Linked DNA regions of Arabidopsis thaliana. The protein of the gene in region 1 purifies or fractionates together with the protein of each later gene. This does not show direct contact. Each region holds a gene or a part of one and is shown in the gene's direction. Other genes may lie near its edges.

What was found. The genes of interacting proteins can lie anywhere in the genome.
Region 2: the proteins of Cpn60beta2 (region 1) and PAF1 fractionate together in Arabidopsis thaliana (co-fractionation; one large-scale study listed by BioGRID). This does not show direct contact.

The regions. Positions count from the first base shown.
Region 1 is NC_003074.8:4,387,262-4,393,549, forward strand, and holds Cpn60beta2 (TCP-1/cpn60 chaperonin family protein), read left to right. Parts: upstream 1-1,953; 5' UTR 1,954-2,103; intron 2,104-2,407; 5' UTR 2,408-2,423; coding exon 2,424-2,627; intron 2,628-2,709; coding exon 2,710-2,835; intron 2,836-2,919; coding exon 2,920-3,057; intron 3,058-3,138; coding exon 3,139-3,234; intron 3,235-3,325; coding exon 3,326-3,568; intron 3,569-3,641; coding exon 3,642-3,876; intron 3,877-3,993; coding exon 3,994-4,163; intron 4,164-4,255; coding exon 4,256-4,333; intron 4,334-4,424; coding exon 4,425-4,496; intron 4,497-4,580; coding exon 4,581-4,685; intron 4,686-4,766; coding exon 4,767-4,859; intron 4,860-4,942; coding exon 4,943-5,035; intron 5,036-5,126; coding exon 5,127-5,250; intron 5,251-5,349; coding exon 5,350-5,363; 3' UTR 5,364-5,754; downstream 5,755-6,288. Other genes in the region: ECT2 (evolutionarily conserved C-terminal region 2), read right to left, coding at 1-87, 170-240, 336-483, 574-650, 932-959; AT3G13480 (nuclear polyadenylated RNA-binding protein), read right to left, coding at 5,923-5,980, 6,127-6,288.
Region 2 is NC_003076.8:17,158,540-17,163,000, reverse strand, and holds PAF1 (proteasome alpha subunit F1), read left to right. Parts: upstream 1-1,844; 5' UTR 1,845-2,025; coding exon 2,026-2,376; intron 2,377-3,245; coding exon 3,246-3,731; 3' UTR 3,732-3,957; downstream 3,958-4,461.

The DNA.
Region 1 (6,288 bases):
AGCAGGGCTAGTTGCTGGCGAGTAAGGATACGCTGCATACCCATAACCCTGAGGATACACAACAGTCCCATTCTCTCCATAAATTCCCTGGTAAAATATTGAACCTGTTAAGCAAAGAAAATATAAAGACGATGAAAGGCACTATTATAACTAGTCAGCACACACTTACAGAATTCATGTCAACACCCTCAGGATTTGTGTAAGCTGGGTAGTCAGTCCACTCTTGACCACTCCCATATACTGAAAAGTTACAAAACGAAAAACTTGTTAAACCAGTGGTGACAATTTAGTGAAATAATGTTTCTAGATTGTAAATGATTTGAGGATGAAGCTACCATTGTAATACTGGTAGGGATTGTAAGGATTAGGAACATAGCAAACTGAAGGGTCAGCAGCATCACTGGGAAGCATTGGTGTCAAAGATCGATCATAAGAAGGAACTTGACCATGAACATCAACGCCTCCATACTGGTAGACGGCAGTCTACACAAGACACAAAACAAAAGCGTTAAAAAAAACTGGAAGAAGCAAAAGTTGTGACAACAGAAAACCAAAATTCAATCTGCAAATCACCTTCTTGTTAGGCTCAGGGATCTCTGAAGCTTTTGCTGGCGAGTCCAAGGATAGTTTCTGCAACAGATCTGTAGCTTCTACAAACAAGGTGAGTCAAGGAAGCAAAGAATTACACAATTAACCATTAGAATAGTGGAAAGCAAACATTCTCAAATCAATCAAACTCGCCACAAATGAATCGATTTGAATCAATATAGAAACCTAACAATCGAGAAATATATTGAGAAACCCGAAACTGAATCTAGGCAATATCAAATATATCTGAACAAGACTCAAAATCAGCTCACTGGATTCAAGATCCAACAGATTCAAGATCGAGAAATCAAAACACAGATCGAGAAACATAAAGAAAGGATACGATCAGCAGGAGGAGCAACGGTAGCCATGAGAGGAGATTCGACAAACAAAGATTTGGATAGATCCTTCTCGGATAAAAGGGGATGCGACCAAAGAGAAAGAAGAAGAAGAAGAAAAAAAAGAAGATAGAGAAACCCTAAATGGAATCAGGAAAAACCCAGATCAAATCTAGGGTTTAAGAGATAGAATAGAAGAGAGAAAGAAGAAAAAAATGGCCGCAGCCGCCAAGAAGGAGAAGGGTTTTGCTTCGGGGAAGAGGAAAAAAAGGGTTTTGTCTCTCTACCTCTCCCTCTGATTCAAATAGATCCACTAATCAACCACCTCACCTTCTCTCTTTTTTTTTTCTTTCTTTTTTTTTTTTTTTCTTCCACCTTAAGATATTTCCTCTTTTGTTTTAAAAGAAGACTATAGACCGTGTGGTTTTGGTTATTTTTCCTGCAAAATCTGGATAATATACTTTTCCATTTTCTTAAAATTGGTAATCTTGTAATAAAATAGATATAAATCTCAATTCTGTTACCAAAATATAATTCAAAAGTAAATTTGGTCAAATTTAAAAGCAAAAGAGGGCATGCTTTCTATTATAGGTGTGTTTCTTCTATAAATTTACCCCAATATACATTGAAATATCTTTAAAAATATATATTAAACTTTTTTGTTTTGAGCAACTATTTAAAAACTAAAAGCAAATCATTAAGATAAAACCAAAGAAAGTAAAATCTATTTTTCAGAGAAACTTACCAAAACTAGCTATTCAAGAAAATATACTTTACCTTTAGGATAAAAGGAAGTAAATTACCTTAGCTTAAAAAAGCTATTATTAAATAAAAACATTTTAAGATCGAGAGTATGTAATGGGCCTATTTGATTAAAGATTCATAAACAGGCCCAAATCACCAAACAAGGCCACCGGAAATAAACCCATGATCCGATTACCCATCCGACGTTCTAGAGAGTTCTAATGAGAAAACAATGAAGAGTACATCCAACGGCTAAGATTAGCTCGAAGTTTCAAGAGCTAAAGGCTCATATCGCCTTTATATTCAAAGAAAAAATTATCAGTAGCAAGTGCATTCTTCATTTCGTCATTGGAGAAACCTACTTCTTCCTCCTTATCCGGAATAAACCTCTTCGGCGCCATCTCTCTCCTCACCTCCGTCGTTCCACCGTCCGGTGAGTGTCACTTTTCCCATCAATTGAGCTCACAATGTTGGCGCCTATGTAATTGTGTGTGTCGATTGATTGTTTTGTTAGAATTGGAATTAACAAGTATTACTAGTAGCTGAGAAAAAGTATGTTACCTTGTTTTCGTGTTCCCGGAGATTTGTGGCTATTGGTGTAGTTGTGGTTTTGAGTATTTGGGGATTGAGCTCTGATTTTGAAATTCATCTGTTTTTTGTTTTTTGTTGCCAGTTTTAATTGGTTAGTACTTTTGGTGAATCTTTCGTTTTATGTGAACTGTTGGATTGATTTTCAGTGTTTGAGAAGTGAAAATGGCATCGACATTCACTGCCACGTCTTCCCTTGGTTCGTTGCTTGCTCCCAATGCTATCAAGTTGTCTTCTGCGACTAGCATCTCTTCAAGCTCGTTTGGAAGGAGACATAACGTGTGCGTCAGAAGATCCCGTCCTGCCATAGTATGTGCAGCCAAGGAGTTGCATTTCAATAAGGATGGGACTACCATAAGGAAACTTCAGGTGAGAATTAATGAATTGATTTTCTGGAGTAATGATTAGGATTCGTTTTATTTTTGGTTTCTGATTACTCGTTTGTTATTAGACTGGTGTTAACAAGCTCGCGGACCTTGTTGGTGTCACACTTGGACCAAAAGGGAGAAATGTTGTTCTTGAGAGCAAGTATGGATCCCCAAGAATTGTTAATGATGGTGTCACTGTTGCGAGGGAGGTATGAAATTTATTGTCTGTTTAACCAATTATGTTCCTTTCGTTTTTAATTACTTCTCTAAGCTTAAGGTTTTCTTCTGCTTAGGTCGAGTTGGAGGACCCGGTTGAGAACATTGGTGCAAAGCTTGTAAGGCAAGCAGCTGCAAAGACCAATGACTTGGCTGGTGACGGTACAACAACATCTGTTGTTCTTGCACAAGGTTTTATTGCTGAGGGTGTCAAGGTTGTTACATTCTTCTTTCAGCTTTCTCTGATTTTATACTCAGAAGAACAGTATATTAATCTGAAATTTTGTATTTTTCAGGTGGTGGCTGCAGGTGCGAACCCTGTATTGATCACTAGGGGGATTGAGAAGACTGCAAAGGCTTTGGTTAACGAGCTGAAACTTATGTCTAAGGAGGTAAGTAACTATTATGCTAAAACTTCCTTCTTCTTAATTTTTCGAGAGTCTATAGCAAGATGGTCTAAAGGTTATGTCATTGGAAATATAGGTTGAAGACAGTGAACTTGCTGATGTGGCAGCTGTTAGTGCGGGTAATAACCACGAAGTTGGAAGTATGATTGCTGAAGCAATGAGCAAAGTGGGCAGGAAGGGTGTGGTGACCCTGGAGGAGGGAAAAAGCGCTGAGAACAACCTTTATGTTGTGGAAGGAATGCAATTTGACCGTGGTTATATCTCCCCATACTTTGTGACAGACAGTGAGAAAATGTCTGTTGAGTATGACAATTGCAAGGTAATTTTTCTTTATTCTGAGCTACCAAAATGATATTGTGATGCAAATAGCCTAACAAGTTTCTACTGTGCAGTTGCTTCTTGTTGACAAGAAAGTAACCAATGCAAGGGATCTTGTTGGGGTTCTAGAGGATGCGATTAGAGGCGGATACCCAATCCTCATAATTGCAGAAGATATTGAACAAGAAGCCTTAGCTACTCTTGTTGTTAACAAGCTTAGAGGCACACTGAAGATTGCAGCTCTCAAAGCTCCTGGATTTGGAGAGCGCAAGAGCCAATACCTTGACGATATTGCCATTCTAACTGGAGGTAGGTCATGTTTTTATAACAAAAAACCTATATGTGGGTATCAATCAATGTGCCCTCCTGATTTGGAATCATTTGGCTGTTAAAACCTTACCGTGTTGCTTCTGTTTTTGTGTGCAGCAACTGTGATCAGAGAGGAAGTTGGTCTTTCTCTTGACAAAGCTGGAAAAGAGGTTCTGGGTAACGCTTCCAAGGTTGTCCTGACAAAGGAAATGACAACAATTGTGGGTGATGGGACCACACAAGAAGCAGTGAACAAGCGTGTTGTACAGATTAGGAATCTTATTGAGGTATATGTTTGAGTCAAACCGCATAAGAGTCTGTGACAGCTACTTTTTTTTGTATAAAGTTTGTTTATGCTAATACAACTGCGGTTGTGCAGCAAGCGGAGCAAGACTACGAGAAGGAAAAATTAAATGAGAGAATTGCGAAGCTCTCTGGTGGAGTTGCTGTAATTCAGGTAAAATAGTAATCACATGGACTTTCTTGGATTTGTATGATAGAAGAATAAGTTAAGTGATCTAATTAAAGTTTTTACATCTTGGTTAAAGGTTGGAGCTCAAACTGAGACAGAGCTCAAAGAAAAGAAGCTGAGAGTGGAAGATGCTCTTAATGCTACAAAGGTGATTTTCTTTATCCAGCTGATGGGGTTATAGGTATCGTGCTACTCATGTATATCTTAATTATATGACCTCATTGAGTTTCAGGCTGCTGTTGAGGAAGGTATTGTCGTTGGTGGTGGTTGCACTCTGCTCCGGCTTGCATCAAAGGTCGATGCCATCAAGGATACCCTTGAAAATGATGAAGAAAAGGTGATTGGCAAAATCAAGAATTTTGAAATTTTTTGCAAATTGCTTGCTCTTACTGCATTTTCAACTATTTCCCATCTCTAGGTTGGAGCGGAAATTGTTAAAAGAGCACTGAGTTACCCTCTGAAATTGATAGCTAAGAATGCTGGTGTTAATGGAAGTGTTGTCAGCGAGAAGGTTATAACAACATAAGAACATCCATGCTTATTCAGCTCTTGATCTACGTAAGTTGCTTAAAAAGCTGTATTTATTTATTGCAGGTGCTGGCTAACGATAATGTGAAATTTGGATACAATGCTGCAACCGGCAAGTATGAAGACCTGATGGCTGCAGGCATCATCGACCCGACAAAGGTCAGTTTCTCACATACACTCCCTCACTCTGTTTTGCTATCCCATCTGATCGCAAAATATCCAATGAACCTGAGTGGATTTTTGTTTTCAGGTTGTGAGATGTTGCTTAGAACATGCCGCCTCAGTTGCAAAGACGTTCTTGATGTCTGACTGTGTGGTTGTTGAGATCCCAGAGCCAGAGCCAGTTCCTGCTGGTAACCCAATGGACAACTCAGGTTAGTCCAGACCTTCTGATTCATAAAAACTGGACAGTGACATCAAAACAAAACTCATGTTTCTTCATCACTGAATCTTTCTCGATTGTCTTGTTTCAGGTTATGGATACTAAGATAGACCGACCAGGTTTGCTCGTAAAGCTGAGAGATAGGCAAAATTCCGAAGCGAGAGTAGCTCACTGGGATACGGATTCCTTTAGCTTGCAAACAAATTTTCTGTGCAAGTGTAGTGATTTTTGAACCAGAGAATAATGTGTTCACTAGATATCATATTTGAAATCATTTTGAATAACTTGTCAGTGATCTTCAAAATCTTGAGTGCTCTTAATAACACCATCTTATATACATGCTAAAGCTGAGGGAACTTAGATAGAATGCAAAAAGTGTACTTTAAATTTAAAAGCTTCTTGAATCTGACTAAGAAAGAACTTCATTAACTGGTTAAGTAAACAAGTGTAATATAAAGCAATTCTTTTAACAACTCTAAAACCGTAAACACTGAATCGACAATCGACATATAACCTCAGGTGAGCAAAAGTGGATTCTACTATATGTACCTCAATGTAGATGGATTCTAAATCCAAAGCCACAAGCTGAACAGAGCCAATTCTCAAGCAAGCTTCTTCACCCTTCACCATTGCCATATCTTCCGGTAAAACTAAGCCGAGTTGATCACAGAATAACACAAACACAGCTTTGATCGCCATCATATCTAACATCTTCTTCTTCACTGCAAATATAACAGGGATTCAGACAAATGTCAATCAACTAATTCTCAAAGTTAGCATCTTTTGAAGCCTGAATTGATCAAAGATTCAAACTTCATACCAAGAAACCTAAGAAAAACAAAGATTCAAACTTCATAGAAGACAGTACCTAGACTCGAATTCTCGGATCTCAGCAAGTTCTTTCCCCATCAAATCCACCCACTGTACTTTCTTCTTCTCCTTTCTCCCACCATCTGCTGAATCTAAGACCTCCTTCTTGAGACTGCTTTTCAAGATTTCCCCATTACTAAGACTTTCTTCTTCTTCCTTT
Region 2 (4,461 bases), on another chromosome or scaffold:
AAGATCAGTTAGTAATTAATTAGATGCTTTTTTTGTCATTAGATGCTTGAATCAGGAAAACTTACAAAATTGAAAACAAATCTAGAAAGTAATTATAAGTGAAAACATATAAAAACGTTATAAATCATAGTATATGCTAACTTTAACTAATCTATATAATAAATAAATTAAAATTTTGAAAACAAATCATCAAATATCAAATAAAGAATAATTCTTGGGTTCACTTCTAGGGGGTGAACCTAATTTATTCACCCCCTCTTTAATAACAAATCAATATTTGCCATGTTATTTGATTAAAAAAACTTAAAACAATTAATATTATCAAAATAAAATAATTAAAATAAATCATTAAAACCCCACTTTTTTGTAAATCCAAACCGATATATAATCTCGTTTAATTACCAAATCTAAGCCCTAATTCTCCTTTATAAACCCAAACCGCCATTTAGACTTATTTAATCGTTAAAAAACAAACCATAATCGTATTTTCTAAACCCAAACCGACATTTAACCTAGTTTAATTGTAAAATCTAAATATGTTTATAAGCCCAAACTAATATTTAACATCGTATAATCATAAAATCTAAACCCTAATCGTATTTTGTAAACCCAAACCGATATTTAACCTCGTTTAATCATAAAATCTAAACTCTCATTTTTTCTAATAAACTCAAACCGATACATAATTTTCTTTTAGTGGCAAATTAGATTTAATAGTTAAATTAATTTTTTATTATTATTACTAGTTTGTTAGTTGGGTTTAAAAGTTTCATCAAAGGAGATTTCATAATTGAATAAGGTAAGTGACGATTTTAAAATAGCTTGTTTTTAGAAGTTTTTCGTTCTAGGTTTGTTCTTATTGCATGTAGCTAGTTAGCGTCATGAACTAGTAACTGATCTTAGGGAGATAAAACCACAAAAGTGCTGAATTTATTTACTTGATCTAACATACATAGACTAGAAACTACGTTATAACAATACAAAAGCTTAGTTGTAGAGCTTTGTTTGTGGAGGTAAAGGAACTTGATCTCATTGGGTGATTGATTTTGTGGCTACAACAAAAATCTGAGTAGTTAAGTTTTTATCGATGCTACAAAATTCAATCCCCTAGTCATCTGTGATTCCAGTTTAAGGAACTTGAGCTAAACTGAATATGCTTTTGTTAATCTTCTTGTATGAGACAATATGAACTTTCGCGATATTCTTAAAGACTCAACGATTAATTATCATACAGTTGATAATAATAGTCGAAAATAACAATCGTTACCAATCCACTTCTATATTATGTATAAAATGATTAAAACTATATTATAAAACAAATAATAATTCAAATTTAAATAAATATTTAAAAATCAAAATTCTATTAGTGTTGTACAAGCACATGTTATGATCTACTTCATCACTATATTCGTCAAAACTAAAAATGTATGACTTTTCAGCTGTCATAAAAGTTTAGAAATATACAATAAATTAATTTTAAGATATCAATTTTAAAAATGATAAATGTTCTAAAATTTTAAATAGGATCAATCACAGAGACTTTTTTTTTGTAACAATTCAAATTATATGATTACTAATAACAAAATCGCAAAGTTTTATATTTATAAAATTAATTCATTTTTATTTAGTTTCAAATAATATACAAGAATATTCAAGCTAGTGTGCTCTGTTTTGTCTAATGTTTTTTTTTTTACTGAGAACTATTGACCAAACTCTTTTGTACATATTTAAAGATTCTTAAACAATTTCACATTTCATCAAAAAAAAAAAAAAGAATATACAAGGATTATCCTGTATAAAAACATAGGCCTAAAGTCTGTATAAAACATATGCCTAAAGTCTTAGCCCAATAAGCTAGATACCGAGCCAATACAAAGCCCAGAATTTAATAGAAGCCCATTAAATCGAGAGAGAGATCGAGAGCATCCATGGCTTGAAGGAAAAGAAAAGTTTTGTTTCTGAACTTTCGTCTCTATAAACCCTTTCGACGACGAGTGAAGAAGAAAGCGAGACGAAGAAGCAAAGATGTTCAGAAACCAATACGACACAGATGTTACGACATGGAGTCCAACAGGTCGTTTATTCCAAGTGGAATACGCCATGGAAGCAGTGAAGCAAGGATCTGCAGCAATTGGACTCAGATCTCGTTCTCATGTCGTTCTCGCTTGTGTTAACAAAGCTCAATCGGAGCTTTCTTCGCATCAGAGGAAGATCTTTAAAGTCGATGACCATATCGGTGTTGCAATCGCTGGTCTCACAGCCGACGGTCGTGTATTGTCTCGGTATATGAGATCGGAATCGATTAATCACTCTTTTACTTATGAGTCTCCTCTTCCTGTTGGTCGTCTCGTTGTTCATCTTGCTGATAAAGCTCAGGTTAGGCTTTTGTAGTTTGTTGATTGAGATTTGGTGGAATTTGGAATCGATTACGCTTGGTTTTGTGTGATTCGGTGATAAGTGTGTTGTAATTGTTAATTGAAATTTGAGGAATTTGGAATTCGATTACACTGTGAATCACTGAGCTCAAATTTAGCCATTAGCTTCTTGACTTTGTGCTTAGGGTTTGATCTGAGCTGATTAGGATTCTAAATTGCATTAAATAAGAGTTTTCTTAATTTATCATAGCAGAAACTTGAATCTTGTTTAGTGAAATTGTTTGCATGTTTGTTGTTACTGCTGCATAATCTTGTATTTAAAAGTTTAACCATAACTAAGAGCTTAACAATAGGATTCTAAAAGAAAGAGATTTGTGTTTCTTCTGGTGCTTTTGCTTGTTTCTGCAGTTTTTATTTGGAGTTATTGATTTTCAGTACCTCTAAGAAGTGAATTCCGCTCTTTGTTTTGCATCGTTCTCACCACTATGCACTTATCTTACCAGTCAATTACTCCTGCTAGGTGCTTGTTCGACATCTTTTCTGTAATTATGTGCTACTTCTCACTTTGTTTTTCCACCTATCTAATGGTTTCTTAAGTTAGCTGTTTTATCCACATCTGCATAAATACTTTTCAAAGCCATTGGGAAGAGCTCCCATATATTATATGTGTTTATAAAAGGAAGGGTCTTGTATTTCCTCATTGTCAAACTTTATTAGTTGGTTTACTCTTTTGTAGGAGAGATTTTACTTGACAGGTCCAACTTAAGTTACATTATTGTCATATTTCTTGTCTTTACCAAGGGTTTTTTTTGTTATATTTCTTGATCTGGAAAAGGAAATATTTATGTGTATGTTTGCCTTTATGAACAGGTCTGTACCCAACGATCATGGAAACGACCCTATGGTGTTGGTTTGCTGGTAGGTGGATTGGATGAGTCTGGAGCCCACCTTTACTACAACTGTCCCAGCGGAAACTACTTCGAGTACCAAGCTTTTGCTATTGGATCCCGTTCCCAAGCAGCAAAGACCTATCTGGAACGCAGGTTTGAGAGCTTTGGGGATTCTTCTAGAGAAGATCTGATCAAAGATGCTATTTTGGCTGTTAGGGAGACATTGCAAGGGGAAACACTGAAGAGTTCTCTCTGCACAGTCGCTATTCTAGGAGTCGATGAACCGTTCCACTTCCTGGACCAGGAAGCAATACAGAAAGTGATCGACACATTTGAGAAAGTGCCAGAGGAAGAGGAAGGAGAAGGCGAGGCTGGTGAGGGTGAGGCCGAAGCTGCCGAGGCTGCACCAGCAGAACGAGGTGGTGGTGTTGCAGGTGACCAAGACGTGGCTCCAATGGAAATGTAAGGCTTGTGTGTGTAACGCTGGAACTATTTTATTTCGATGTTAGTTGGATTTTTACTTTGCAAAATGGCTGCGGGTTTAGATTATATGCTTGAGAAGTTGAAACCATTTCGTCATTTAAACTCAATAGCTGCCATCAAGACTTTCTCGTATTCTGGTCTTTTGGTTTAAATCTGAAATCTGTTCACGACTTCCTATCTCTTTGGTTCTGCAATTCCTTGCTAAAAAAGTGTGTAGTGTCATCTAACTAGGGCTGTCAAGCAGGCCAAGCCAGCCTTGTTAGGCCTGCCCTGCAGAGGGTTTTAACAAAAAAATTGACCAGCCTCAAGTTTCCTTCGAAGGTTAATCTAAAATTTGTTAACCCAAAGAACTCCAGAATTTAATGTTAAATCGTAAATTATGATAAAATCATTAGCTCGACGTCATTTAGTCTAATAGAAAACATAAGTGGCCCCCTACATGGTGACGACTACGAAAGACTTTGGATAATGGGAACCATGTAAACCAGACCCATTGACTTTGCCGTCTCTCTTAATCATTTGCTTTATCCAGCATCCGTTCTCGTATATACACCAAATTAACCATCAAAGGAAAAAAAAATGATCAAGAGTTTATCATTGCATCTAAGAGCTAGTGGATCATATAAAATTGAATTAACAACGAACAGTCATGTTTTCGGTGTCAAAAGACATTGTGAATTAAACATACGAAACTACGTCAAATCGTTTAAGGC